Mus musculus: one gene and its partners. The protein of the gene in region 6 interacts with the protein of the main gene of each other region in a pairwise test. Links are inferred from orthologs where the notes say so. Each region holds a gene or a part of one and is shown on either strand. Other genes may lie near its edges. The genes, in order: Prps2, Apip, Rpia, Ncoa5, AU022252, Wdyhv1 and Lztfl1.

Region 1 (4,202 bases), on a different chromosome or scaffold from region 6:
CCCCAAAGATACGGTCAATCTAAATACTCTCCCAAACTCCAATCACACAAGAAGTGCCTTTAGAGTGGGCTACAATTCAAGGGCAAGTAGTCTTTGTTGTATATGGCAAGCCAAATTTCAGTAGACAGTGGTAGAGCCCAAGCAACTATCTGGCCAGGTTAATCTGTCTCTGAAAGCTTTTAAGAAATGTAAGTCAGGATCACTAGTGCTCCACTCGTCCAGGAGCTCAGGATGAATCTCCTTTCCTTAAGTGTGCTTTGTGCCCAGCGATTGGCGATTGGCTCTGACACTGCATTAGCTACTTCAGAAATGCTGAGGTGGGGGTTGAGGGCAGGGAAAGCAAAGGACTCTGGGAGAGGGGGGTTGGTTGCCGCAGCAGGGGTGGGGGTGGGGGGTGGGGGAGTCTGACTCTAGAGAATCCAAGGGACAGGAAGTTGTGAAGAGAGCCTGAGAGCCAGCCTATCTACATAAAAACGAGGACTCAGAAGGAATTGGTGAGAGGCAACTGACCACTTGAAAATACGCTTTCCTCTTGTGGCCAAGCTTAGGGGTCAAATGGTGGCTGTCATCAATGACTCCTTTACAGAGCAACACACATTTAGGAGCTAGACGGTAACATGTTCAGGTTTTGTGGACCAAGAAGCAAAAGACAAGAAAGAATGTGGGCATTTATATAATAAGAAAAAAAAAAAAAACCAAAATTTTCAGCTTTTGTTGAAAAAACTGGAAAACAAAATATTTGAGCTAATTTTGTAAAATATACATCTAAATTAAATGACAGAGAAAGAGAATTCTTGTTGGTGAGAAACCCTTTTCTTAGTCCATCTTCAAACGTAGTCTATATCACCACTTCAAGTGCAAACATGCTTCACTCCCGTGTGCAAATACAAACCGATGTGTGGGTCTGGCCTATGTAGACACGGTGTGCACTTGAAGCCCAGGTATCACCTCTGGGTTCTGAGCTTCCGGGTTGAAAGGCTGCTCCTGGCTGTGAGGCACCACATGGCCCTTTCCTGCAATGGCTCACTGTGCCCACTTTATCTGGTTGGTTGACCTCCCCATTTAAAGGCAAGTCAGGAAGTCCTATGTGGAGCCTGGAGCTCCCCTACGGAGCAACTGTACTTGGGTGCTTCGGGACCACCCAGAGCTTCAAACCCAGATGCCCAGCCTGCGTGGGCAGAAGCAGCCTCCCAGCACCCTCCAGCGACTCTTCAGCTGCTCCTCCTCCCTCTGGCTCCTCCCCCGGCCCTCCCCTCCCCTAGATCCTGCTGCTGCGTTTTCCCGCTTCACCAGCAGCCCAGGCCACCGCAGCAGCAGCAGCAACAGCCGCAGCAACGGTAGCAGTAGTCTGCATCGCAGTCCCTTTCTCCTTCTCCAGCGCGCTCCTCAGTCCCCGGTCACCATGCCTAACATCGTGCTCTTCAGCGGCAGTTCTCACCAGGACCTGTCGCAGCGCGTGGCCGATCGCCTGGGCCTGGAGCTGGGCAAGGTGGTCACCAAGAAGTTTAGCAACCAGGAGACCAGGTGGGAGCCTCGCTGGGGCTGAGGCAGGGGCCAAAGCATGCCCAGGCCAGCTCCGCGGGCGTCATGCTCTCCCTTCCGGGGCGGGACGGCAACAACGCGGCTGCAGAGCCAGGGCGGCTGCGCCAGGGGAGAAAGAAGTTCAGCAAGGGACCCCCAACCCCCACCCCCAACCCGGGTCACCCTGGAGTCTCTACGCGTATCCTCTGGCTGTTAACCTTCTGGTGGCTGGGCCTCCAATACCCGGACATCGGCGACCTGTCGACCCTTGGGCACCCCAGGCCCCTCTTTTGCACCGGCTCGCCTGGTGTCTTCAGTCCGGAAGGACAAAATCGGGGCAGTTACAGAGCGTCTGGGAGAGTGGGCGCAGTCTGTGGGCATCACTTCGGTGCCGGGAATGGTGGGGGCGGGGAGACATCGGTGGATCCGCCCGCCCCAGTTTCCAACTCTCTGCCAGACAGAAACCCAGAATCCTGCATGGTTGAAAAGGCTCTGCACGGGTCCTGGGCACTGGGTTTATCCCAGGGAAACTTTCGAATGCCACTTCCAGCCGCTGGCGATCAGAGTACTGCCAGCTGCTCAGGTGACTCTCCAGAGCAGCAGGCTGGCCAAGCGCTGCCTTATCCAGAAAGGTGGGTTTGTGCGGGAGTTAGGCAGAGCGTGGGAAAGCGAGACGCACGTGTTGAGCGCTCGCACCCTTCCTTTAAACTTTGTTGCATCTATCATTGCGAATAGCTTCTTTGTGTTTGTGGAGCTTAGCTGCGCACAGCAACAAGACCCCAGTTTGTTCAAAATTCCACCGGTTTCTCACATTAGCAAAAGGTGCCACCAGGCAGGCGGAAGCTCTCCTCAGCTTAGACTAGGGATTCCTTGTCCTACTTGCCCAAAGCCAATTTCTTTTCCCGAATTCTATTTAGCACAGTTAACCAACTATACAGTGCACAGTGACAGATAACCGTTCTATATTTAGTAGCGCACGAATTCATTCCGCAAGTTTTACAGAAAAAAAAAAAGTCATTCTCCGTATTTACAAAAGTTAACTTAGAAACGGATTGTAGACACAAACGTCAAAACTAAAACTGAAATTTCCAGAAGGAAGCACAAAATCTTGATGATGGAATGAATCGAGAATTTGGTTGTGAGATTAAGGGCATTTTTTTTCCTTTTGGTTGTTTTATTTTGGTTTGGTTTTCGTTTTCTGGGACAGACTTTTGCTATGTATTTAGGCTGGTATTGAACTCACCCAGGTAGTAGTCCAGGTAGGCTTCGAACTCACAGGAGAACCCTTGTTTCTACCTCCCAAGCATTAGAATTTCGGGTGTGTGTGTCATCAGACCCAGTTAGATTAATATTGATGACAAAGATGATTTTTTTCTAGAGGTTATGTGAATCCCGTGTGACCTTTTCTAGGTGGTAAACTCCATTTACACAGCTTGGGTGATAATAGAAGAAACCTGTGGACAATTCAGGTGAAAGAACTGCCACTTTGTTTACTTATTGACATTACATCCTGATTGAAGTCCCCCCTCCTCCAAGCCACCCCCTAAAATAAATTAATTAATGGGGGAACAAAAGGAAGTAATCCAAACCTTCCAGGAGTCGGCAACAAGAAAACAACAATGAAATGAACTGTGACATTGAATTAAGAACAGTGAAAAATTTATTTTCATAAGTTAAAAACAACAACAACAACAAAAGAATGCCACTCTGGGGTTGGGGAATGTAGTTCAGTTGGTAGAGTTGCTTGCAGGAGTTTGCATGAAGCCCCTGTGCAGCATCAGATCAGGATATGCTGGCACACACTACGTTCTCAGCCCTTGGGTAGAAGAAGCCAGAGAAGTGGGAATTCAAGAGCATCTTTGGCTACATGAGACCATGTCTATTTTTTTTTTCTAGTACAGAGGATGTATTCCAGGTCTTTGTGTATGCTAGGCAACAAGAAGATTCAACCACTGAGCTCCATCCCCAGCGCCCTTTGTAGACTTCAATAAATGGAGGGTGCTCTAGGACTTTGGAGAAGGATGGAGCTAGGTTTGGACATAGCAAGATTTTGTTAGTCCTTGTCCAAGTTTCAGCGGCTCTGGGGGAACAACTAGAATAAGCCTCTTTGTTTAGAAGGTGTTATCATGTAAATAAAGGAGCTGGCTCTGGAGGGAGTGGGTTTTGAAAGTGTAAGTGAAGCAACCCTTCTTTGTAATCTCAGTGCAGCACAATGCTGCAAGGCCTGGCTAATCTCCATGATCTGGCTGAGTAAGGGTTTACTACTCTAAGTCCTGTATCAGCTGATAGGGGAAACTTACTCAGATGTTCAGGCGGGATTGTTCGTACATTTATTTAAATAGAAAGAAGCCTTGTCTTTAGTTTGGGTTATCTTTTCACCACTTTTGATCCTGACAACGCCTAAGCTTGAGAAGACCCCTCAGCTCTACTTTCTGTTGAATGGGTTGAGGTTTTGTTCTGTTCTATCTGGTGTAGTGGATTTGCTTTCCCTTTCTTTGAGTCAAGTTCTCATGAGGTCTAGGCTGGTCTGGAGTTCACTGTGTCACTAAGTCTGCCCTTGATTTCATGTTCCTCCTGCCCTCACCTCCCATGCGCGGATCATAGAGTACATGTCCCAGGATACCTTGCTACTCCTTGCTACATTTTATGTTCTATCCCATAGAACATTTTAAAAGGTTAAT
Region 2 (4,201 bases), on a different chromosome or scaffold from region 6:
AAGTGTAGGCAAGTTCAGTTTTAACAAATGAGGACCAGGCAGAGAAAATATTATATACTATACAGTTAAAGACAATATCCAGGAAGTATTTATTAAACATTACTCCAAAAATGACTTAGGTAAATTGTCCCTATTAGCCCCTCTTTAGAAATCTCAGCACACGGATTTTATTGTTTTTCTTTTTCTTTTTTTTTGTTTTGTTTTGTGGCCTCAGACAGCTCAGAAAGTGTGGGCTAGGCCTACTGTACCAGGTGGTGGTAAGAATGATTACTTAAATGTCTAATGGTTTCTAAAACTGTTTTCTGTGCCCCCATCCTAACCCCCAGCCCATATTCATACACGTAAGGAAGAATAATGCCAGGTCTGCCATTTTATATGCTGTATGTTAAATAACGGAAGGACAGTGGGTATATCTCCGAGTTCAATATCACTGCTTAAGAACAATTTTATGTAATAGGCTGTATGAATTTCATGCCACATATTTTACTTGAAACATTCTAGCAATGTCTGTGATTCTGTATTTTCTAAGTTAAGTCTTGTATGCTGCATACATTAAGTGCAGTAAGATTTAAAGTTTTCCAATAGGGACAGGTCCTTTGAATGAATCAGTATGGGTAATAGTGGCTTTGAATGTATGGGCAGCTATATTACATTAGAGAGGAATGGTAAAATTAAAGAAATTTGACATGTGATTGATAAGGGTCTAAAATAGAGGGATTTAAAACAGACCCTCCCTAGGTGACATCGAAATTTCTCAAATTCTAAAGCAAGGTCACAGAGAAGCCATGTAGCCCTGAAGGCAGGCCAAGGACGGAACCATGCTCTCCCAAGTCTGAAGACAGTTCTTTTGCCGCATGCCATAGGCTAAGTCAGCAGGCCCGTTTCTGGGGGAGGTTGAAAGGAACAGGAAGAGTCCGCACTTAACCTCACAAACCGTGTCCCCAATCAAGAAAGCCCCTGACCCAGGCCCCATTGCTCAGCTAAAGAGAGAAGTGGAGCGAGCGCAAGCCACTCACCCTGCAGCAGCTGAGTACTGTGAAACCACCTCCAACTTGCTCCACGGTCGACAGGCCAAGCAGCAGCACCCTGAGCCAGTCCCAGGCTTCGACGGCTGCTAAATCCCAGAAGGTACCGAAGCAGCGGCTGGTTACAGTGAAGCCTCCAGGAGGCCGCCATCTTCCCGGCTTTCTCCGGGAAAGCTCGCAAGTCAACTAGATTGGCGGCCTCAAGGCCCGTCCAGGCCCCGCCTTGCATGGGCTGGCCCCGCCCACAGCGCACGCTCCCCGCCTTGGACTGGAGGACTAGTCCTTCTAACACCGCCTCCAACCTTCACGGGCACGCCCACCGGCCGGTTTGCGCCGCCGCAGATTCTCCAAAGGGACGAGGTCCCCCTCAGACTCCGCCTCTCACTCTTGCTCCGCCCCCAGGCTGCCCGCTCTGTCGCCTAATAGCGTTCTGCCGGCCGCTCAGACTTGGAACGAGCGCGGGACAGATAACGGAGCAGAGTCAGAACCATGTCTGGCTGTCAAGCTCAAGGAGACTGTTGCTCGCGGCCGTGTGGCGCGCAGGTAAGGACGGCGGTCTACAGCAGGCGAGGTGGGGTCACGGGCCGCGGGGTGGGGCTTCGGCCAGGAGCTCTAGGCGGCTAATTCCTAACCCAGTCCGCGAAAGTCAGAGGCCCCTCTGTGCTAGTAGGACTGCTCTACCGGAATTGTCAGGCACCCCAAAGGGCACTCTTTTGGGCAGTTGTCCTTGCCTATCTTACTTGACGTTATGAGGTGGGAGCTCTTGGAAATGATTCTTCTTTAAGGAAAATGGGCCCTGGGGCAACATGGGTTTTCTTTCAGTTAAACAGGACGCAGGCTTATGAAATGCCTTCTAGTGCTAAGAAAATGGTGAACTAGCGAACTAGAAGAATAAACAGCTTCGATACTAACTGATAAGCCCTGCAGAAGACTCAGGGGAAGTCCACAAAATTATATCTTTACTAACCTTTCGTCTAGCCAAGGGGTCTCAATTTAAAATAAAACAGGAAATATTTAATGCAGAGCATCTGAACTATTATTGTCTTGGAATAAGTGGCTTTTCACAAATTCTTTATAAACCTTGAAATTAGGCACGACTGAAAGGGAGATTTTGCATATAGGACACAGGTCCCTGGTGGCCATCCCTATATATGGAGAACGAGGAAAGTAGAAGCAATGTATCAGAATCAAGGTGCATTGATAGCAGACATGTTTGTCATCCCTTATTAGTAAATCTTGGTGACGGTCATCATAGAAATACAGATTTTTTTTTCATACTAAGTGTTGTGCCAGATCAGCAAAATAACCTGTGATTCAAGAGCTGTGATTGAATTTATCAAGACAGAAAATAGCCACATACAAAAAAGAAGCTGAAGATGTTTTTCAAGTATAGAAGGAGAAGTGGGTGGTTTCAGATGGTGATTTGTCAAAGACTTTTGAATACCTAGCATTTTAGATTGGCCCATATTTTGAGGAAACCACAAAGAAAACTCTAGGACCACCATATACCTCAACTAGAGATCTCATTACATGTCTCTAGCCTCTTCTTGCTGTTTGGAGGTATAGACGCAGTGTCAAATTCTGCTTTTTTGAGGGACACTTAGAAAGTCATATTCTGTGTGAAATTTCCTGATTCAAAAATGTTGGCTTGAGTTCTAAGTGTTGTGCAGATCAAATAAACGACTTTGGTCTGTGTTGGGGGGTGGGGGGTCACTATTGCTGTGGTGAAACACCATGACCAAAGAAAGCAACTTGGGGAGGAAAGGGTTTATGTTGCTTCTACTTCTACTTCACTGCTCATCATAGAAGGAAGTCCGGACAGGAGTACAGGCGAGCAGGAACCTGGAGGCAGGAACTGATACAGATGCATAGAGGGGTGCTGCTTACTGGCTTGCTCCCTCTGGCTTGCTCAGCCTGAACTCAGGACCACCAGTTCAGGGTGGCACCACTTACAACGAGCAGAGTCCTCCCTCATCAATCACTGTGAAACTCCTCTATAGGCATGCCTTCAGCCCATCTCATGGAGGCATTTTTTTTCAACCGAAGTTTCTGCCTCTCAGATGACCACAGCTTGTGCCCAGTTGACATAAAACTAGCCAACGTGAACCCCTTACTACTTTTTTTTTTTTTGTTAACGTATATGTATCCTTTAAGACTTAACTATGTGTTACCTGATTGGAAGGCTTCCCCAACAGTGAACAAAACAACCCAGCACAGTCCACAAGATATCAGTTTGAACCGTTTGATATTAGCCTTTTCTTAATGTAAGAAATACGGTCTTAGTGCACCCAGTGTTTATTGAGCAGAGCGCTATGGTATATGGTATATGGTATATGGTATATGGTATATGGTATTGTATAACTTACAAGAACATGTCTCTTGTTCCTTAGAAAACCATGCCTTGGGGGAAAACCCGGGAAGGCTTGCTTGTTTGCTGGCTTTTGATTTTTTTTAATTTTGCCTCATGTATCATGGCGTTCTATTTATAGTGACGAAAGTTCGATTTGGTTCGGTCTGACTCAGTTTGCCCTATGTGTTAGAGATTAGTATTAAGTTATTAACAACACACAGAGCACAGCAAGGATTTTGAACAAAGGTAAGTTCCAGAAGACACAGCAGGATTCTTCCCCCTCTTGCAGGTTTCTGAGAAACACAGATAGGAGGCCCATGTAGTTCATGAGTCGTAGGTGTTTGTAGTCAGTTTGCCTCTGGGTCCCTGGACTGAGGAAAGGGAAAACATTTGTGCCTTTATGACTATAGAATCACAGCAGCCTGCTTGTCATTTCACTATAGCAGTCACTGCAGGGCATCTGCCAGCAACTAGGACCTGGAGGCAGAGGCAGCTTCAATACTCTTTCCATCTACAGTATAATTTCAAAGTAAAAGAGTAGGGGTTTATAGCCGTATTGCCTGGGTTCAAATCCTGGCCCTGCTGTCAGTTATCAGGTAGACAAGTTAATCTTTTGGTATGATAGGGCTGGTATAAGGTAAAGTTGTCCATACAGCTTTAACAGTAGTGCCTGACCCACAACAAGCACTTGGCAATTCCTGTTGTTGATAGATCATACTTACTGGCATTCAGACATGCATACATACTTTGTTCTTCCTCTTGTTTAGGCTATTACCTTTCTGTTTTCCTGATCTCAGTTTCTGTTTCCTAGCAGAAGAGAACCTAT
Region 3 (3,500 bases), on a different chromosome or scaffold from region 6:
AGATTGACCTTGCCATCGATGGTGCTGACGAAGTGGATGCTGAGCTCAATCTCATCAAGGGTGGAGGGTGAGTGTTGTGGGGACTTTGTTGCTAAAGAGACGGTCAGCTAACCCTTAGCGAAGCGAAATGGAGTACAGAGTAAACAATTGTTCCTGATACACATGAGTTTTTCTTCCTGTCAGCACCCTGATACCATGTGCTGTTGATCCAGCCTAGCATTTCTGACCATTAGTGTCTATCTGCTGACAGGTAACCTGGGCCTTTTCATCGAGATGGTTTGTCATGCTGTTCTGTGTACACACACAACACATTATTGGCTTAGACTATTAGGTCTGTGCCTTATGTGTTAAAGTTTTGAAGTCCGTAATTCCTTGAGGGGTGCTCTCCCTTTATTTGGAAACATTTATCAGAATGACAGGGTGTTCAGTTTTTTAAATGTATTATGTAATACTTGTTGCAGGTGTGAGGTAATTTATCTAGAGAGCAGTAGACATAGGCCAGAAGATTCAGTATCCCTGGCTTGTGCTGTCACAGTCCACAGGGCAGGTGCTCCAAACCGGTCATCTATTCAGGGCATGTCAGAGTCATCTCCCTAACACAGTGCTGCTTAGATGCCTGTTGGAGGGGAAGTGCTTGGCCTGAATAGAACCATTGTCTACTTTCTAGGCTTCTACCAGACACAGGCAGATGCTTGTGTATTCCATCTACTAGAAAGCAGCTCTATAGGATTGAGAATGGCTCTTTAGAAACGAAGCCACATTTCTCTTTAAGTGTCAGGATTGAATACATTTGGGACTCCCATGTCTGATCCCACTTCCCAAATGAAGATGATCTCACCCTACTCTTTCCTGTCAGAGGCTGCCTGACCCAGGAGAAGATCGTGGCTGGTTATGCAAGTCGTTTCATTGTGATTGCTGATTTCAGGTACTGTTCCAGGGTTCTGCCTACCAGCAGAGAAGGTGTCTGGGTTCCCAAGTTTGGTCCCCATGGAAGAGGAGAGAGCCTGTATAGGAATGTAGGAAGGATTTCCTGCTCTCTAGGATTCCAGGCAGTGACTCCTGCTGACTACCGTAGCACCCAGCACTCTTTCGTGGAGCTGGGCCTTCCTGTTTGGGGATAGGGAGGAAGCAGTGTCACCCTGTGGGCAGAGCTCCTCTGCCTGAGTTGTTACTCATTAGGTCTTCACAGGTAACCTCAGGACAAGCCCTGAGGTTCACAGGTAGTGACTCAGCACATCCTGCTTCCTCTGGGGTCAGGCTCTTCTCCACGTGACTGTTATGCTCAGTCTTTGACCAGGCCGATTTTCTTTCAAGGAGCCTGAGAGAGGAGGCACTGTTCTGAGCATGTTAGAAGAAATACCTGCATTTGTATCACTCGGGAAATACCATAAGTGCAAGAGCAACCTAAGTTAGCCAGCCAACCATCAGAGCAGATTTTATAATTTTTACCTTGATATTCAAGTCTCTTTAGTGTAAAGCAGCCCGTGTTTCTGAAGCCCCTGTACTGTCCTGATCTCTTTCCCCTCCAGCTGTCTCGTTAACCCCTTGCCTGAATTTGGTTTTGTGTATTGAACTTACTTAAATTTGATTGACATTTTTTCTAGGAAAGATTCAAAGAACCTCGGGGATCGGTGGCACAAGGGGATTCCCATTGAAGTCATCCCAATGGCCTACGTCCCAGTGAGCCGGGCTGTGGCCCAGAAGTTTGGGGGTGAGGTGGAACTTCGAATGGCTGTCAACAAGGCAGTAAGTGGCCAAGGAGGTTTCTGAGCACTCCGACTCAGTGTGCTGCTCTAGTGCTTTCTGTGTCAGTTAGGTCCTAAGACCTTTGTGTGTGTGTGTGTGTGTGTGTGTGTGTGTGTGTGTGTGTGTGTGTGTGTGTGTATCTGTGTGTATCTGTGTGTGTCTTGTGTCCAACCCCTTAATCTCCCCCCATAGAAGGAGTCATGGTTCTTTCCTGACATCCCTCGGGGTTACTTGAGGTCTGGACTGCTCAGTGAACAGCCTCTAAACACTGTCTTTTGGGAAGTTCTAGGGGGCAGAAAGTTTTTCAGGTTCTGTGGTGTGTGTGGTATTTTTCTTTTCTTTTTTTCATCCTTTCTGAGGCTATCAATGTAAGAGTACAACTCTTATTTCAAAGAGGATAAGAGATAGTTTTAGTTTAGAGCCAAGTAGGAATAACTCTGGCCTGGGAACATTGATTTAGGTTATTCCAAATTCCAGTGAGGTAACAATCTTTTAATATGTACAGAGACAAAACAAAGGCCACAAATTACGCTTTTCATATATATTGTAAACACCAGGTAGGCAGGTCATAGAAAAATGGTGAAGGCCTCACCCCTGTCCTAGCATTCCCCTCCCCGAGACAGGGTTTCTCTGTGTAGCCTTGTCTGTCCTGGAATTAGCTCTGTAGACCAGGCTGGCCTCAAATTTATAGAGAACTGCCTGCCTCTGCCTCCCCTGGGATTAAAGGTGAGCCCTACCATTGCCCCAGCTCTGGTATTGTTCTTAGCCTTTTGGTTGGTGGGAACCATACACACAGTGTGTCTACATTTCAGAGGGTTTACCTTTCAAAAGGTGTAGATGGCCCAAGATACTCTGCCTGTGGATTAGTAACAGTCTATACTAAATTCCAAAGCCAATGAAGTGCCAGTTGGTTAATCTAAGGACAGAAGGCGAGTGGAAGATATTTTTTTTCAGAAACTTTCTGTACAAGATAGCCCCACTCTCTCTTTTTTTTTCAGTGTTAGGAGTTGGGTTCAAGGACTGGAGAGATGGCTTAGTGGTTAGGAGCACTGACTGCTTTTGCAAAGGTCCTGAGTTCAAATCCCAGCAACCACATGGTGGCTCACAACCACCCGTAATGAGATCTGACGACCTCTTCTGGTGCATCTGAAATTAGCTACAGGGTACTTATTTATAATAATAAATCTTTGGGCCGGAGCGAGCAGGACCAACTGGAGTGAGCAGAGGTCCTAAATTCAATTTTAGCAACTACAGTTGTACAGTGTACTCATATACATAAAATAAATAAATCTTTAAAAAAAAAGGAATTGGGGTCAAGGCTTCTGGAAATACTAGGCAAGTACTCTACCACTAAGCTACATCACCTGCATTCTCTATGGGTGGGGGTGTGTGTGAGCACATGATACTCCTGTGGAGATGTTTCTCTTCAGCATCTGACTGTGAGTTACAAAGAACTTTTCTTTTGCACTTAAGTAAACAACCAAATGTAATGACCTCAAACCGAAGTGTATATAGTTATTAGAAATAAAATTTGGGTATTAGAGAAAATAAATAATCAATAACTGTACCCTGGTGTCAATACTTCCTTGACTTCCCTTTAGAAAGCAGCTGTGATAACTGGTTACGTAGCACCTCCCTTCCATTTTTGTTTGAAGGGAGGCTACCTGGAAGTATGTAGTCCAGGTTGACCTTGAGCTCCTGATCTCCCTGCCTCCTACTAAGTGCTGAGATTAGAGACAGACGCCACCAGGCCT
Region 4 (3,923 bases), on a different chromosome or scaffold from region 6:
TTAGGTGGGAAACTCTCCTCTGCTTACAGAAGTGAGCACACCAGCTTTGGGGCCCTGTGCCTGAGGTAGGAGGTGCTTCCTAGGTGTCAAGTCACATGGTACCCTCTGGGAGGCAGCAACTCTCTTCTTGAGAGGAGGGTCAGGACAGTCATGCCAAGTAGATTAAAGGCTCTTCAAGGCCTCCATGTTCTGACTATAGATTATGCCAAACTCCTGCACAATGGGCAGCAACAGGCATGAAGGCAAAAGAGGAATGACAGCCATGGCCCAGAGAGGCTCTTCCTCACAGTGGCTTCCTTCCCCGTAACCTATCTTGGACACCTGCAATACACCGACTCTAGCAGCAGGCACAGAGCGTGAGTCTGCTGTAGGCATTCCTATCAACACTTCTCACTGGCGGGCAGCACAGCGAGTTTAGGCTGGGCACAGAGACTCTGCTCTTGGGGAAAGTGCTCAGCAGAGGTGCTGCTGCAGACACACCCAAGAAAGATTAGCACAGGTCTGACTTTTTCATTTTAATTAAAAAGTAATTATTTCATTTTATCAACAACACAAGAGTTCCAAAGGGGGAGGGGGACCCACCGTATAACACAAACAGATCAGAACATAAACTGCTGCCATTTGGGGACTTAGCTTTTGAAACTGGTTTGCTCAGCCTCTGGCAGGGACTGGACTGGAGTTAGCACTCTTGCCGCCCAGCCAGGCCTGACCCTCCCCTGACCTGATCCTCACTTCATTTAATGAGCAGCCTTTCCCAAAGGAAAAGGCGCTTCTTCCTCTGGCTCCATTCAGGGCAGCAGCCAGAGCCCTTCTCTAAACATCACCCTGTCTCAGAAGTTACACGAATGCTCTTCTGTATGAGAACATACCCAACTACCACAGTCTACCATCAAGTGGTCCCCGTCTCCTGCTCATCAGAAAACAGAACAAGAGTCTGAATGAAAACAAAAGCCTGGGGCTCAAAAGAAATCACGGACCACCAAGGTGTCCAGCTCCAGAGCCTGGAGCTGCCCCCAGTGCTGACTGCATGAGGTGCAGCCGGAGAGAAAGGTGCAGCTAACGCTGTGGAGAGCAGTGGGCCCCAGAGTCACAGTTCATGTCAAAGTGCCAAGAGAGCTGCTCACTTGTCTGCAGACCCTCCAGGAAAATAAAAAATACGAAACCAAACCAACTTCAAGGGACCACTCTGATGCAGTCACAAGAGTCCTCTCTTCTCTGGCTGCCACATGGCACTTCACAGTCCAGAGAAATCACTCTTGAGTCCTTGGAGTTCTATTCTCTGATGGAACAATGATGACACTGTCTGCCAAGACCACCTGGCTTCACTGGGAGCCAGGCAGGACGCAGCTCTGGCTGCTGTGGAGGTGAAAACTAAGGCTATGACCACTGCCTCCAGAAATGGTGTTCCCATAGGGCAGCTGCGCTTGGCTTCTTCCTGTTCCTCCAAATCTGCCAGGCAGGTGCCAGAGCGATCCCAGACAGAAGCTGAGCCCAGATCCCAGAACACTTATCTTCTACCCAAACAAAAGATCCAGCCCCGAATGCAGTCTAAGTTCTGATTCTGATAAGTGATAAGCAACAGCCGCAGGAAGGAGTGGTGAGAGAAACTTAGGATATTTGATGTTGACCTGGAAAGTGTTTCGAACACTTCCAAACAACTCTACTTAGGATGAAGTAGGAGGGGCCAGGGAAGGGTGGGGCTAGGAACAGTAGACCAGTAGAGCCTCAGTAATGCCTCTGGTAAGATCCCATGGGGGCCTGGGGCCGCCCCACCTGTGCTGCAGTTTGGCTAACCAGGTGGGAAAGGGCAGGGCCACTCTGAATCAGGGTGTCCAGAGCCTTTTGTACACTTGGATTGTCAAAGTTAATACCTGTGGAAGATACAGGCCTCTGGCTAGCCATGGTGCTGGCGGGTGCCAGGCGACTGGAAGGCTGACCAAAGAGCCCTTGGGAAGGAGCCCCAGGCCTAGGGCCCATGTTCCGAGCAGACCCTGCCTGTCCCACAATGTTTGGAGGCTGATTTCCTGAGGCCTGCGGTCTTTGCTGAGGCTGGCTGTTTGCTGCTGTGGAAAAATTCTGGTTCTGGGAGCTTCCGGTAGCCACTGAGGGGGATGCAGAGCTGCTGTTGGCCGCAACCGCGCCACTATTGAAGAGGCTGAGGATTTTGGCCTGAAGCTCTTGCTGGGAGGTGGGGGGTGCGGCTGGAGTGGGTGTAGCAGAAGGGAGCACTTGGCCGCTCTGAAGCGGTTGTGAACTTGGTTGTGACTTCAGCGAGGAACCCGAGGCCGCCCCGAGTGGCTGGCGGGAAATCGGGCCTGGAAGACAGAAGAGGGAGGCATCTGGTTGAGAGTGCCCCCTAAGGGCAGGAGGCCTAGCAGCCACAAGAAGAACAGCAATCACACACCACAACAATCATACAGTACAGACAGTAACATCACATTCCAAAGGGGCGGTTGCTTCCCAGAGAGCAGCCCAATGCCCAACAGAATTGCTTAAAACAAACAAAACAAATAAACAAGGGGTATCCATCATGGCTCCCAGGACGCCAACAATACTAGATAGATTAAGCCCCAGCAGCCCAACTCTAGGGAGCAGAGCTCAGCAATGAATGGAGATCATCATAACAGCATCATCAGCGTGCATGGATTGTGGGAGAAGCCAAAGGATGGCTCACTTCCCTTGCCCACCCCAGAGAACCCTGGGCATGCCACCCTCCCAACAGAGCACGGGATGAGAGAAATGCAGAGTGAGAACTTCACCTCGGCCCTGCCACGTAGCTCACCAGGCAGAGAGTCGGCGCTGCTCCTCAGGAGCCGCTCCTTCCGCTCGCGCAGGTAGTTGATGATCTTGTCCGTCTCCTCGGCAGTGAGGTATCTGTTATCTGCCAGGAGGTTGATGAGGCTCTGGATAGCTGGAGGGTGCCCTCCACGACCTCCCTCTTCAGGGCCCCCACGATCTCTTTCCTGGAGGATGGCGTCATTAGCCATTTTGGCTGCCTGTCGGGCAATCTCCTCACGTTCCTTTTCTCGACAGTCATTCTTGTAGCGCTCGTAATTTCTGGCCACCAGCACCATGGCATCTGCCTGGGGCATGTTGCGATGCTCTACAGGAGGGAATGACACCAGTCATTTTCTCCCATGATAGATCCAAGTGCCCACTGCTGTGCTTTGCCAAGCCTTTCTCAGCCTCAAAGCAGAGAAGCACTGCAGTGTTAACAAGTCTTGAACCTAGAGTGGGGTGGGCTGAGGGACAGAGCATCGCTCGCTCTTCAGTGTGGGACACACCTTCTTCCTACAGAGCTATTTCTTCAGTGGATCACAGACCTGTGGTAAAAACCAAAGGAACACAACAGCCTCCCACAGTGTCAAATAGGCCACTTGGGGAGCTGCTGGGCAGCCTCCACACCGCAGCAGGAGGCTGGAGAGTCTTGTGTGAAGCCTGGCTCCCTGCTGTGCTCAGGGCAGAGCCACTACAGCTTTTTAATTCATCAGTTCAAAAGTCATGGACTAAGATTAAATTGTAACCCTAAATAACCACCTCTTCTTAATGGAGCAACAGGACACTGAGGACACTTCTTGGAACCTTACATAAATATCTATACACAAGCTAAGGACAGCTCCTCAGAGACAATTCTACCAAACCTGTGACTATGGGTGTGAGCGCCTGGTCAACAGAGATCATAGGCAGGTGGAAAAGGGGTTAGGCTTAAAAGCCACAGTCAGGGCACCGATGGCTGAGTCTCAGTGCTTGGGCTCAAAGCACTCCAAGAGCCTTCCTCTAGTGGACCAGAGCCTCTCCTGTCAGTTTAACTACTCTAGCACACTGACAGACAGCAGCTTGTCTGTGAGAGCCTCATCCCTGGGAGCACATTTCAGGTAGCGGATGCCTAAGCCAGACCTCACTGAGAGCCAGGTGTACACAGG
Region 5 (4,070 bases), on a different chromosome or scaffold from region 6:
TGGAAATATATGTTACCAGTCATCACGGGCAGACAAGGCTGGCGTTCCAAGCCCGCTTATTGACTTGGCCTTAAATCGCTGTGGCATCCCAAAAGACAGTCATTTTCTTAAAAACAAAAAACCCAAAAATACTAGCTAGAGGGTCCTCCACAGGGCGGAGCCAGGCAGCCCCTGCTGGCGACGTGGCAATCCCACGTCCTGAAAGAGCGCTGCTGTTGGATTAGGGAGCAGGGAAAGCATGATTGGAGAACGAACCGGAAGGAAGATGTTGCAGAAGCACTTGGACACTTGCAATGAAGTACTGCTGGGAGACCCTAGCGGCCGCCTCGGTTCCCTCTAGGAGGCCTTCCCAAAAGAAAAAGGTCAGGTTTTTCTTGGCTTGGGCTGTCACTACTGGCTGGACCTTTAGGGTTAGCATCTGCCCATAAGAACCGGGTGAAGCTCCCAAAGTCCGCCAAGAGCTCCCTAGCCAAGAGGTCCCTTGCCTCCCTGCCGTCTCATCCCTGCTCTGCTCCCCAAGTTCCCCAGGTCGCTCCCGGCCACCGGGCTCCGGACCAGTCGCACCTTGAAATAGGCGACCTGCAGGTAGTTGTACGGGCTCCGCTTGTTGAACTCCAGGTCCAGTTCTTCACTCAGCAAGTGGGCAGAGGGCGGCCCGAGGCAGCGGCGTAGGCAGGCGGCACGGCGCAGCACGGCTCCGAAGAAGCGCAGGTCGTGCAGGGCGGCGGCGCCCGGGTCCTGGCTCAGGCTGGGGTCCGGACCGAGATCCAGGTCCGGTGCCCACGGCAGTTCGGTGGCACAGCGTGTGCGGCAGCGCAGGCGGAGGGCACGCAGGGCCGCCCGCGAGCGCAGCGCCCGCTCCATGTTCAGGACCACCCCGGGCCAGTCCCCGCGCGAGTAGGCCGCGGTCCCCTCTGCGTAAAGCAGGTCAGGGGCTGCCACGTCCCATCCCGGCTCAGACTCCGCCGCAACCCGTAAGGCGGCGGCGGCGGCGACCGCTAGCATCGCTGCCAGCAGCCTCCTTTCGCTCACCGCCATGGCCTTGCTCCTCCACTTAACGGGACTGCTCGCCTGGGGCACATTCCAGAGTCCCGCCCCCCACAGAAGCCACGCCCAGAGACGAGCCACGCCCCAAGTCCAGAAGCTCGTGGCAAGGAAACTTGTACCGCCTCTTGCTTTCAACCAATCCAAACACTTACTCTTCGTGAGGCTCCGCCTCTAATCTCATGCGCACAGCTCAATGGACTGAGAACGAGAAAACCCCGCCCACAAGCTGTTGTGCGCCTGCGCTTTAGACTGAGCTCCCTGCGGGTGGTGGGACCGAGGTGCTGTTATGGCGGACCCCGGGGTTCCCGGCCGGTACGAAAGTGGTACGGGAAATCTGGGGGTGAAGGAGGCGGCGGGTCCTGGAGGTAGGTGGGACTGAGTTGCCTGGGTAGGAGGTCGCAGCCGGGTGGCTCTTTCCTGCTGGCTCACGGAAGGCTGAGGGTTTCAACTTACGCCTGTGTTCGGGTGTGTATCGCAGGAGCCCTGGTGGAGCTCACCCCGACCCCCGGCGGCCTGGCTCTGGTGAGCCCCTACCACACCCACCGGGTCGGGGACCCCTTAGACCTCGTGGCGCTCGCCGAGCAGGTGCAGAAGGTGAGGAATAGCCATCTCCGTACTTTACCCTGCCTCTTTGGGCTCGGGACAGCCTGTGAACTCGGCAGTACTGAAGTTACCATTCCATTTCACACGAAGAGGATCACTCTATCCCAATTCCTCTGTTGTTGTTTGTTTTGAGACAGGGCCTTTCTACATAACTCTGGCTGTCATGGAACTCTCTATATTATAGACTAGGCTGGCCTCGAACTGACAGATCCACCTTCCTCCCCCACCCTCCAACCCCAAAACCCTATGCTGGGATTAAATGTATGGCTTCTATACCAAATTCTTAAATAGTCACATTTTATTCTGCTTCCCATAAGGTCTTTATCTGTTACCCAGGAGCTTGTGGAACTTAAATATATGCTCTTTCTTTCCTTTTTAAAAAAACAAAACAAAATAAAACAAAAACTGCTGGGGTTGTAGTTTACTGTTGCCTAGCCCTGAATTTGATTCTTAGCACTACCAAAAACAGCATGCAAAAAGGCACAGGGTAAAATTCCTATTGAAAAAAAGACCACACACAATAAAACTGGAGGTAGTTTCATTTGCTGTATAGCCCAGGTTGGCTTTGAATTCAGCCTCCCAAAGGCTGGGTATTACAAGGGTCGCTGTCACACATGGTGAATTTCAGTGGATACAGTCAGTATTACTATGTCCAGAGCTTAGGCGTCGGTTTCCATAATAGGTAAAATAAAGAAGATATGCAAAATAATGGAAAAGACCGTAGAAGTTTTGACAGATTGGTTTTGATTGTTTCTCTCTGGAGCTCTGGATCTGTAAAATGAGATCTTTGAGGTGGAGAGGCTCATAGGGCTAAGTGGGACTCCAGTTTCCTTCTCTTAGCAAGACTTCCCCTGAAGACTCTTTTACAGTGTCGGAGCCTGGCTGCTTTAAAAGCTTCTAGTGTTCTCTTTCTCTTGTATAAACTAGCTTATTTGGCAGTTATCGTGTTCAAGAGTTTGTTTTGATCAAGAAAATTAATGATTGACATGCCAAAAATCCCTCACACAAAAAATGTCTGTTGTAGTATTTAAGAAAAATTCAAATGTTTAGAAAAACCTTTTTAATTAAAACTTTACTTTTTTTTTTTTTTTAAGAGAGGTGGGCTCAAAAACAGGCTTAGAAGACTATCACGTGTTTGTTTAATCAGGCTGCTATTGGAGGGAGGTAGCTAGGGACAAAATCTTGGGCAATCAACACTTTGAGTTTCAGAGTGACGGTAGTGGACTCAGCCACAGAGAGAACACAGCTTTTTTTTTTTTTTTTTAAGATTTATTTATTTTATATATGTGAGTACACTGCCGTTCTCGCCAGAGACACCAGGAGAAGTCATTGGATCCTGTTATAGATGGTTATGAGCCACCATGTGGTTGCTGGGAATTAAACTCAGGACCTCTGGAAGAGCAGTCAGTGCTCTGAACTGCTGAGCAATCTCTCCAGCCCAGCTTTAGTCTTTTATACTGGTGACATATAAAGGATATATTATTCTGTTGCCTCCAGTTCTCCAGAATAATCCATCTTTGAGAAGCTGAAGAAGAAAATACTTTAAAAACAAATTGAGAGCTGGGGAAATGGTCCAGTGGTTAAGAGCACTCACTGCTCTTGTTGATGACCCAGGTTTAGGTACCAGAACTCACATTGAGACTCACAGCTGTTTGTAACTCCAGTTCCAGGGGATCAGATGCCCCTTTGGGCATTGCTTGGACACGATGCACATACACACATGCAGGCAAACACCTATATACACACAAAAACTTTGAAAACTAATGAAATCAACATATTCACCGTCTACATACTGAAATACACTTGCAGAGAGGACCGTCTCCTGACTCCCTTAATGTGCAGTCAGAAAGCTTTCAGAGGTTTGATACCGAGACATGGATTTTGGAATTAAGTTTAACTATGTCCAGATCCTTCAATTGCCATTTATTATAAAACCTTAGGTCACCACGCCTACGTGAGTCTTAACACCTAACTAAGGTTATCGTTTCTGGAGAGTTAGATGCCATTATTAATGTAGAGGCTCTTGGAGTGCTTGGGCCCAGGATCAGTGCCTGCTAATTATGAGTACCCTTTGGGACTGGCGGATGGCTCAGGGGTTAAGAGAACTTGCTCTTGCAGAGGATGCAGGTTTGGTTTCTAGACCCTACCTGGTGGCTCACAGTCATTTCTAACTGTAGCTCCAGGTGACTCAATGACCCCTCTCTTCTGACTTTTTCAGATGCCAGGCACACGTGTGGTACACATATGAATACATATACAATAAATACAACTTTTCAAAAATGTATTCTTTCCTTCCTTTCTTTTTAGTTAGGCTCTGGTTTGCATGGTTAACCTTTCCTTAAAGGGAAAAGGGATTAGAGAAGGCCTGGTGCCTTAGTTAGGGTTTTACCACTGTGAACAGGCACTATGACCAAGGCAAC
Region 6 (4,081 bases):
TCCACTGGAGGGCAGGATGATCACACAACTAGCTCTGGTCCCTTCTAGAAACTGCAGGGATCCTCTTTCCCTTGCAATCTCTTTCCATCCTTCTACTGAGAAAGCTTAACTTCACACTCACTTTGTACTAACCAAGAGAGGCTTCATGACTGCCACTCCCTGCCTCCCAGCCTCTGTTGAAGGGAGTATTCAAGCTGAAACAATAAATTGGTAACAGACACAAACACATGTTTAGTTTGTAGGATTTATGGGTTTTGGACAGCAGCTGAAGTTCACCAGAATACCACCAGCACAGCACTTTATGGGGTTGGGGTCTCAGAAGGCTGAGAGTCTGTGGGTGGCCTATAATCTAATCTTAAGAAGTCCAGCGTTTGCAGGGAGGTTCTCTGAGCACTTAAGGCACACACAGGAGACTGGGATGTCTATAGAGACAGTTCTCTATGTCTTTAATTCACTATGCATAAACACTGTTTTAGCAATTTGGTGTCTTCTCTTTTGAAAATAAATATGATTAACACAAAATGCTATCCAGACTCTTTAAATCTTTTTTTTTTTAAAAGAAAAATTCTTTTGTAGTCTAGGATCACCTTGCATTAGAAGCAATCCTCCTGCTTCAGTCTCCTGCATGCAAGGACTTTAGGTGTCTGTCACCACACCTGGTTAAAACTTTTTTTCTTTAAAATACACACACACACACGGAGAGGGAGAGAGATCCAGATGAGAAGAAATTAAATTACAATATGGTGAGATCTGGGTGCACTGCACTAACACCCCCCCCCCCCCCCCCCGTTCGCCTTTCTTTCTCAGTTCCTGCTCTAAAGGTTCAGCTTTCGTGCGTGCCCAAGCATCTCTTAGTTTAGAGTTTCTTCTGGTTTCACACAGCGGGCAACCTTAGCTGGAGTTTTAAGTGTATCCGGAAGCTCATATCTAAACACTGGCAACAACACAAGCAATCCCTCCATGGGAGGGCGACTAGGTCTACGCAGCGTAGCTCAAGAACAGGTTCGGTTTGGGGTCCGGGTGGTGGGGGGGGCGGGGCGAGAGGGAAGCCTCTAAGTGCATCCCGCTCTGCCACAGGCTCCACCCACCACGCAAAACCTGGCAAGAACTACACAGTTCAAGTCATCCTAAGATTCGCATTCCCAGCCCCCTCTCCACCAGCCTCGCCCCACCCCCACCCCCCTCAGATCCCACTCATTCTCTCAGGCCCCGCCCACCCGGAACCACGCAGGCTTCGTCATCCCGGGCTCCGCCCTCACGCTGCACGGGGCCCCGCCCACCCGGCTCTCGGCTCTCCCACCCGGAAACTGTCCTGGCCGCCTACTCTGTTGTCCTCTCCTCCTGGGAGACTGGCGACAATTGCGGCCAGCGGGTTGTTTAGTTGACCTGTGAGCCACAGCTTCGGGTCATGGAGGGGGACGGCCCCGCCGCCACGGCCCCGCAGTACCAGCCGGTCTGTCCTACGCGGGACGCATGTGTCTACAACAGCTGCTATTGGTGAGAGAGCGCGGGCGCGGACCCCGGGAATCTGCGCGGTTTCGCGCGCCGCCACCAATGCGCCCCTCTCCTGGATGCTCCCCTGAGTGCTGCTGCTGGCCTACACTGCCCGGGTTTAGCGCCGGGATGAGGAGGGTGGGGAACGCATTTCTGGTCTCCTTAGCTGAGCCTGAGCAGTGGGGTGAAGTCGGGGCGTCTTAGTGCATAGGGACAAGGGAGGGAGGGGAGTTAGGCTGGAGACCCAATGGTAACTGTTGAAGTCTGCATTGATTCAGGTTGAAGTATACGTCTTTATAATTTTAAAGACAATGGAGACACAGAATTTGTGGTAGTAGGAAATCCAGTTCAGGCAACTGGCTACCCTGATTACCTTACTGGCATTACCTTACTGGCCATATGATAATGGTTGCATTTGCACCATCCTTGCCATATGCTAGGCATTGTTTTGCGTGCATGGTGTAAATTAACTCAGTTGAACCTCACAGTAATCCCAAGAGGTAGGTACTGGTGTGATTGCAGCTTGGAAGAACTCTGAGGTACTGAAGGGTGTGCTGCTGTTTTACACAAGGCCCCGGGATTGTGAGGTTAGTGTCCTAGGCTGCTTGTGCAAACACCGTTCACCTTGCCTTTTTTGTCCCTAGGCCTCATCTTCCTTTTGTGTAGGGACTGCTATCCCAACTCAGGAGAAACCTCAGGATCATTTAAATAGACTCCTCTCAACTCTAGCTGGTCACTCAAACAAGGACTCTAAGAACTTAGCATTCAGCTGTGACTGACCAGTGACCACTTTAGCTCAAGTCCAAGTGCTTGCCCTGGTTCTCAATCTTCCAGGGCTGTGACCCTTTAATACAGATCTTCTTGTTGTGGTGACCCACAGCTGTAAAAACTTCGTTGCTATTTCACAACTAATTTTGCTACTGTTAAGAATCGTAGTGTAAATATCTGATATTCAACGCCATGACCCACAGATTGAGAACAGGGGGTGGTAGAGCGATGTCTTGGAGACAGGTTCTGTGGTAATTATTGACACTACAAAGGCTGAACTATAGAATGGTTGTGGTTTGTCCCAGACCACACAACTAAGTGGAATGAGATCTGGAGTCTACATGGTGGTTGGGAGTCCTTCTTTTTTAGCTGTTGCATTATAGATCTGCTCCGCCTGGTTTCCAAATCCTGCTAGTTTTTATCTGGAACATTTACTCTGTGTCTTCCATTTATTTAGTAAATATTTCGTAGGGATGTGAAATGTATGTTGGTTGATTCTATGCACAGAGGATAGAGCAGTAAACAAGGTAGATAAATTTCCTGGCAGTGCCAAGGACTGGCCTCAGCTGGGACCGGGTTTCTGAAAGAAGGGGTGTTTGGGAGCAGTGAAAACTACTTGAAGTCAAATTGTTGGTCCATGCTGGTGGTCTATGTTCCGCTGATGTGGCTTTCTAGACTGCTCTCTCTGTGTCTGCTTGAGACAGCTTTTTCTTGCTATTCTGAAAACTTTTTGGTTGAAACAGCTAGCTTTCTGCTCAAGACAGCTCTCTCTGCTATTAAAAGTTCTAAAAGCTCTTTGGATAGCTCATGGGTTTGCTGACCAAGTCAGAAATCCTGTTAGAAATACTCAAAAAGTAATTCTTGGGTTTTCTGATCAAAATCAGAAAGCCAGAAAAAAAATTCTAAAAGAGCTGTGTTCACTCTTCTGCCAGCTTTTTCTGTTTAGCTGCTAGGAGACATGCTAACAGAGCTGTGTCAGTAAATCTTATTAGAGAAAATTCTAAAAGAGCTAAGAAAAGATCTGAAAGAGCTGTGGTCGCCCTCCTTACATTGTCCCACCATGTTCCAAATCCTGTTAGAAAAAAATTCTTAGCCGGGCTTGGTGGCGCACGCCTTTGATCCCTGCACTTGGGAGGCAGAGGCAGGCGGATTTCTGAGTTCAAGGCCAGCCTGGTCTACAGAGTTCCAGGACAGCCAGGGCTACTGAGAGAAACCCTGGGAGGGTGTGGGGGAGGGCGGGAAGAAAGAAAGAAAAAAGAAAATTCTTGAAGAGCTGTTCTCAACCTCCAGGTTCCCCTTTGATTATCCTATGAATCCTGTGACCCCAGGCCCTTAATTCTTAGGAGACTACAAGCAGATTTTCTCCCCCTTTTTTTAGCATTGTAAAAGAATTCAGAGATCTGGCTGCTTTTGTAAATTTAGCTAGTTGGGACCTTGTCCGGAGATTACCATTCTGACCACTCCTGGACCTAAATTTGATCTGTTCCAGGCTTGAACTCAGAAATCTGTGTCATATAGAGTAGCTGCCTCTTGTCTATTTAGATCTGTGAAACTCCTTATACAATTCATATTGCATCCTTATGTTTTTGCATAGTTGAGAAATTATATATTTTCAAACTCATGTATTTAGAGCTCTTTCCCACAGCCTTAAGGGCTGTCCTGAGGGTCACAGTATTTACCATTTTGCTGAGACATTAGCCACACCTTCGTTTTCTGGACTCATGCTGTCTCAGATTCTCATGGAGTCATTGATGTTAACTGGGAGGAGGGCATTCCTCTGAGGAGTGTGAAAAAATGTCCATAATTATACAAGCAAGCA
Region 7 (3,500 bases), on a different chromosome or scaffold from region 6:
GCTGCTGTATCCTGCTTTATCAAATATTCAACCAAGATTTAATTGTTGCTATAAAAATAAGCACATTCATCTCATTATATGAAAAATTAGCTTTCAGCCTTAGTAAATGGCAAATTATATGTATGCCAGAGAAGTGGTTTTAAACAATTTTTTTCTTCAATTTTTCAAAACAGGGTTCTCTTTAACAGCCATGACTGTCTTGGAACTCTATTTGTAGACCAGGCTAGCCTCAAACTCACAGAGATCTGCCTGCCTCCCCAAGTGCTAGGATTAAAGGTGTGTACTACAACACCTGGCTTGTTTTAAGAAAAATTTTTATGATTTTTTTAATTAGTAAATATCTCACCTGTATACTTACTTTATATACATGTATGTGTACCTAGTCATGTGAAAGTTTCTCAAGAAAGAAAGGATCCTAAGTGGATAAATTAAATTCTGATTAATGCTAATACAGAAACCACAGTGGTCACTGAGAGAAACTCCACTAAGTTCCATGGATTTGTGAAATTGAGACATAGTTGTGGGTGATAGTAACAGTCTGTTGTCAGGCATGCACATGGTAATCATTACATACTGGAAAGGTTCAGATAAAAATTGTGACGGGCTTAATTCTATAAAGTTCCATAACTTTAGTTTCTTAAGTGATTTCTTTAAAAAGTAGAGCCATATGACATGACAGTTATGAACTTATACTTTTCATATAGAGCAATTTGGAGAAGGAAAAACAACATAAAACATATACTTGGTAATACCAACATTGTTGGTTGACTTGAAACAAAAGTTGGTAAGTTTTGTTGAAACAACAATGGAAACTAGTTAAACGTTGAGTCACACGTAAGTAGCAAAGGTCTTCAGGATGTCTCTAGCTGTTGTGGAGGTCATCAGCCTTGTACTAGTGTCTGTTCAACCAATTACCTAATCTGGTTTATTAAACCCAATGGATGAAAGCAATGGAACTGGCAAAAATATGGTGAGGTCTATTAAAGAATATAGAAAACATTAACATTTTAATAAAGACTCTAAAATTAAAGTGTTTTTAAGAATGATTAAATTTTTCTAGTTTAACAATGTTAAAGAATTATATGTTAAATACTACTTAGTGAAATGTAACTGTGCTAAAAGTGTTTTCTATTAATTTGAATATGATTATGCCAAGATGTTTGATTTTTGTCTGTTTGGAAGAAAGAAAGAAGAGAAGGTGAGGCTAAGGGTCTGAGGGTGAGAGACTTTAGAGGGGCAAAGCTGGAAGAAACAAAACTCTGTTAGTGTGATACTGTCATTGAGAGTAGGAGGTGTGCACAGGATTTGTTAAGGACTCCACCTGTTGGTCATGTTACTGAAATTGCTGGAGCTAGTAACCCACAGTGGAACCACAGGCAAATCTCTTCCATGCTCCAAGCCCTCTGTACAGTTAGGGATTGAAGACAATGGCTCATCTCCCGAGATTCCTTTCTAACCCAAGTAGCTCCGGTAAGAGTAGATTTGAATGCTGCTGTTGATTAGATATTCATTTCTGTGATTCATAGTGGTACTTTAAAAATGTTAATTTGTGTGTGTGTGTGTGTGTGTGTGTATGTCTAGACTGCTAAGAAAGTTAATATATAACTGCAGTGTTTGTCTCATAGGCATACTAATATTTAAGTAATTCATATGATCATTAAAATGTTAGAGAAGTAACAGAAAGTGGGGGAGTTAAGTGTGACTTTTTAAGTTACTAAATATAATAAGGCTAACTTAGAGGAGTATAAAGTAAAAAAAAATAATATTGTAAAGTTAAAAAAGAATAGGTAAAGGTTTAGGGGATATTTTTCAATATGTAGTTATATTTTAAAATGAACACATTTGAACAATTACTCACATCTAATCATTTTAATCTCTCCCAGAGAGTTTTTCTTGCAATCTTTAATTCTTTAAATGTCATGATGTCGGTCTCTTGACTTCAGTTACATTTTGTAAGTTGCTCCTGTGACTAACGAGCCAATGGTGTCATACTGTTTTCAGGCTGGTGGAGGAGACTTTCACCATTGATGAGGTTTCAGAAGTCCTAAATGGGCTGCAGGCTGTGGTACACAGTGAGGTGGAGTCCGAGCTCATCAATACAGCTTACACCAATGTCCTGCTCCTACGGCAGCTGTTCTCCCAAGCTGAGAAGTGGTATCTAAAGCTACAGACAGACATCTCTGAACTTGAAAACAGGTAAAATTTGTACTTGCAGTTGAGGCCCAACTATGATCTCAAAAGTTAGTGATTACTTTGCTAGTACTTTCCTGGGCTGGGGTGTGCGACACTGGGTAAGGTAACAGCAAGGCACAGTCACTAGATGATTCCTTCCTTGAGGAGCACTCAAAGGCCTCTTAAAGACACTCTGTTTCTACTATCAGTTCCAACTACATGAAACTGCTTTTCAATCTAAAGTACCTATTCCTTAGAGCATCTTTAGTAACATGGTTAATATTACAGTGGTCTTGATTCATTGATCTGCTAAGAAGTAAAGATTAGAACAGTTGAAGATATACTAGAGAATAATTTCCATCTATTCAGCCTAATAGCATTGCAAATTTGTTTCTACATAACTACATTTGAAACCATACACTTAACTTAGGAAATGTAAACTATAAAAGGCTTAAAAATCTTACAGTATTGAAAAGCTCATAAATTCAAAACCTCTAGTAAGATCAATGAAGTTGAAGCTGGTTCTAAGAAATAACATGCCACTTGGACATCATGGTTCACACATACAGTTTCAATTCTTAAGACTGCTTGTGTTATACAGTAAGACCCTGTCTCAAAAATAAATAAATAAACAAACAAATAAATAAATAAATAATTGCCAGAAGTCAAGAAGGACTCGCTGCTAAGCCCTGGAAATTGTTCTCTGAACAGTTTCTCCTCAAGTGGAAAATGATGAGCAGTGCTAAGTACAGTCTTCCAGGAGGGAAGGAAGTTCGTTTGGCTTCTGCAGCTGTCCATTTCTCAGTGGGTGACTGGTGAGAAAATACTGAGTGCTGATGTTTGAAGAAGATAGAAGAGTCGTCTGTACGTAGGAGTATAGTCCACATATCTATCTTGGTAGATTATCAGGGGCTTGCTCACAACACCAGCTTTCATGGAATATGCTAGCATTCTCTCTCAGTAGATACTGTGGACTAAGTCATATCCAAGAAAACTGTACTACAAATCAGACTCTTTCTTAGATGACAGTAAATGTTATGTAATAGGGAAATCACTGCTGTACCTCAGAAATAGAGGGAAATATAAATATCATTCATATAGGTATTAGCATTGCTGTTTATGTCTTACGACACGATATACATATCAAGTACAAAGTACCAAGACCTGTGAATGATTTAAATTGCTTTACAGGGCATGAGATTCTCACCCATTTGTAATCAAATAACAGTTTTGTACCCTCTTATGCTCATCTCCCTAACATGTAATAGGTTGGTTCTTGTAATTTTTTTTTTATTCTTTTATGTTCTAGAAGTCTATTCTCAATGAAT

Evidence for each region.
Region 1: the proteins of Wdyhv1 (region 6) and Prps2 interact in binary tests that used the Homo sapiens proteins (3 or more experiments, as listed by UniProt). The two-hybrid records come from large-scale screens. The link is inferred for Mus musculus from reciprocal best matches to the Homo sapiens genes NTAQ1 and PRPS2.
Region 2: the proteins of Wdyhv1 (region 6) and Apip interact in binary tests that used the Homo sapiens proteins (3 or more experiments, as listed by UniProt). The two-hybrid records come from large-scale screens. The link is inferred for Mus musculus from reciprocal best matches to the Homo sapiens genes NTAQ1 and APIP.
Region 3: the proteins of Wdyhv1 (region 6) and Rpia interact in binary tests that used the Homo sapiens proteins (3 or more experiments, as listed by UniProt). The two-hybrid records come from large-scale screens. The link is inferred for Mus musculus from reciprocal best matches to the Homo sapiens genes NTAQ1 and RPIA.
Region 4: the proteins of Wdyhv1 (region 6) and Ncoa5 interact in a two-hybrid assay, tested with the Homo sapiens proteins (3 studies listed by BioGRID and IntAct). The two-hybrid records come from large-scale screens. The link is inferred for Mus musculus from reciprocal best matches to the Homo sapiens genes NTAQ1 and NCOA5.
Region 5: the proteins of Wdyhv1 (region 6) and AU022252 interact in binary tests that used the Homo sapiens proteins (3 or more experiments, as listed by UniProt). The two-hybrid records come from large-scale screens. The link is inferred for Mus musculus from reciprocal best matches to the Homo sapiens genes NTAQ1 and C1orf50.
Region 7: the proteins of Wdyhv1 (region 6) and Lztfl1 interact in binary tests that used the Homo sapiens proteins (3 or more experiments, as listed by UniProt). The two-hybrid records come from large-scale screens. The link is inferred for Mus musculus from reciprocal best matches to the Homo sapiens genes NTAQ1 and LZTFL1.

What each region holds. Positions count from the first base shown.
Region 1 is NC_000086.7:167,379,792-167,383,993, reverse strand, and holds the start of Prps2 (ribose-phosphate pyrophosphokinase 2), read left to right. Parts: upstream 1-1,402; coding exon 1,403-1,524; intron 1,525-4,202. UniProt on the Homo sapiens protein: Catalyzes the synthesis of phosphoribosylpyrophosphate (PRPP) that is essential for nucleotide synthesis.
Region 2 is NC_000068.7:103,072,274-103,076,474, forward strand, and holds the start of Apip (methylthioribulose-1-phosphate dehydratase), read left to right. Parts: upstream 1-1,401; 5' UTR 1,402-1,514; coding exon 1,515-1,568; intron 1,569-4,201. Other genes in the region: Pdhx (pyruvate dehydrogenase protein X component, mitochondrial), read right to left, coding at 1,017-1,176. UniProt on the Homo sapiens protein: Catalyzes the dehydration of methylthioribulose-1-phosphate (MTRu-1-P) into 2,3-diketo-5-methylthiopentyl-1-phosphate (DK-MTP-1-P).
Region 3 is NC_000072.6:70,771,676-70,775,175, reverse strand, and holds part of Rpia (ribose-5-phosphate isomerase), read left to right. Parts: intron 1-2; coding exon 3-67; intron 68-856; coding exon 857-925; intron 926-1,604; coding exon 1,605-1,746; intron 1,747-3,500. UniProt on the Homo sapiens protein: Catalyzes the reversible conversion of ribose-5-phosphate to ribulose 5-phosphate and participates in the first step of the non-oxidative branch of the pentose phosphate pathway.
Region 4 is NC_000068.7:164,999,857-165,003,779, forward strand, and holds the end of Ncoa5 (nuclear receptor coactivator 5), read right to left. Parts: intron 3,104-3,923; coding exon 2,783-3,103; coding exon of another isoform or gene 2,760-2,782; intron 2,316-2,759; coding exon 1,726-2,315; 3' UTR 501-1,725; downstream 1-500. UniProt on the Homo sapiens protein: Nuclear receptor coregulator that can have both coactivator and corepressor functions.
Region 5 is NC_000070.6:119,229,925-119,233,994, reverse strand, and holds the start of AU022252 (uncharacterized protein C1orf50 homolog), read left to right. Parts: upstream 1-1,270; 5' UTR 1,271-1,333; coding exon 1,334-1,412; intron 1,413-1,525; coding exon 1,526-1,641; intron 1,642-4,070. Other genes in the region: P3h1 (prolyl 3-hydroxylase 1 isoform 1 precursor), read right to left, coding at 565-1,038.
Region 6 is NC_000081.6:58,140,085-58,144,165, forward strand, and holds the start of Wdyhv1 (protein N-terminal glutamine amidohydrolase), read left to right. Parts: upstream 1-1,281; 5' UTR 1,282-1,408; coding exon 1,409-1,497; intron 1,498-3,123; exon of another isoform or gene 3,124-3,185; intron 3,186-4,081. UniProt on the Homo sapiens protein: Mediates the side-chain deamidation of N-terminal glutamine residues to glutamate, an important step in N-end rule pathway of protein degradation.
Region 7 is NC_000075.6:123,711,126-123,714,625, reverse strand, and holds part of Lztfl1 (leucine zipper transcription factor-like protein 1), read left to right. Parts: intron 1-2,001; coding exon 2,002-2,196; intron 2,197-3,500. UniProt on the Homo sapiens protein: Regulates ciliary localization of the BBSome complex. Together with the BBSome complex, controls SMO ciliary trafficking and contributes to the sonic hedgehog (SHH) pathway regulation. May play a role in neurite outgrowth. May have tumor suppressor function.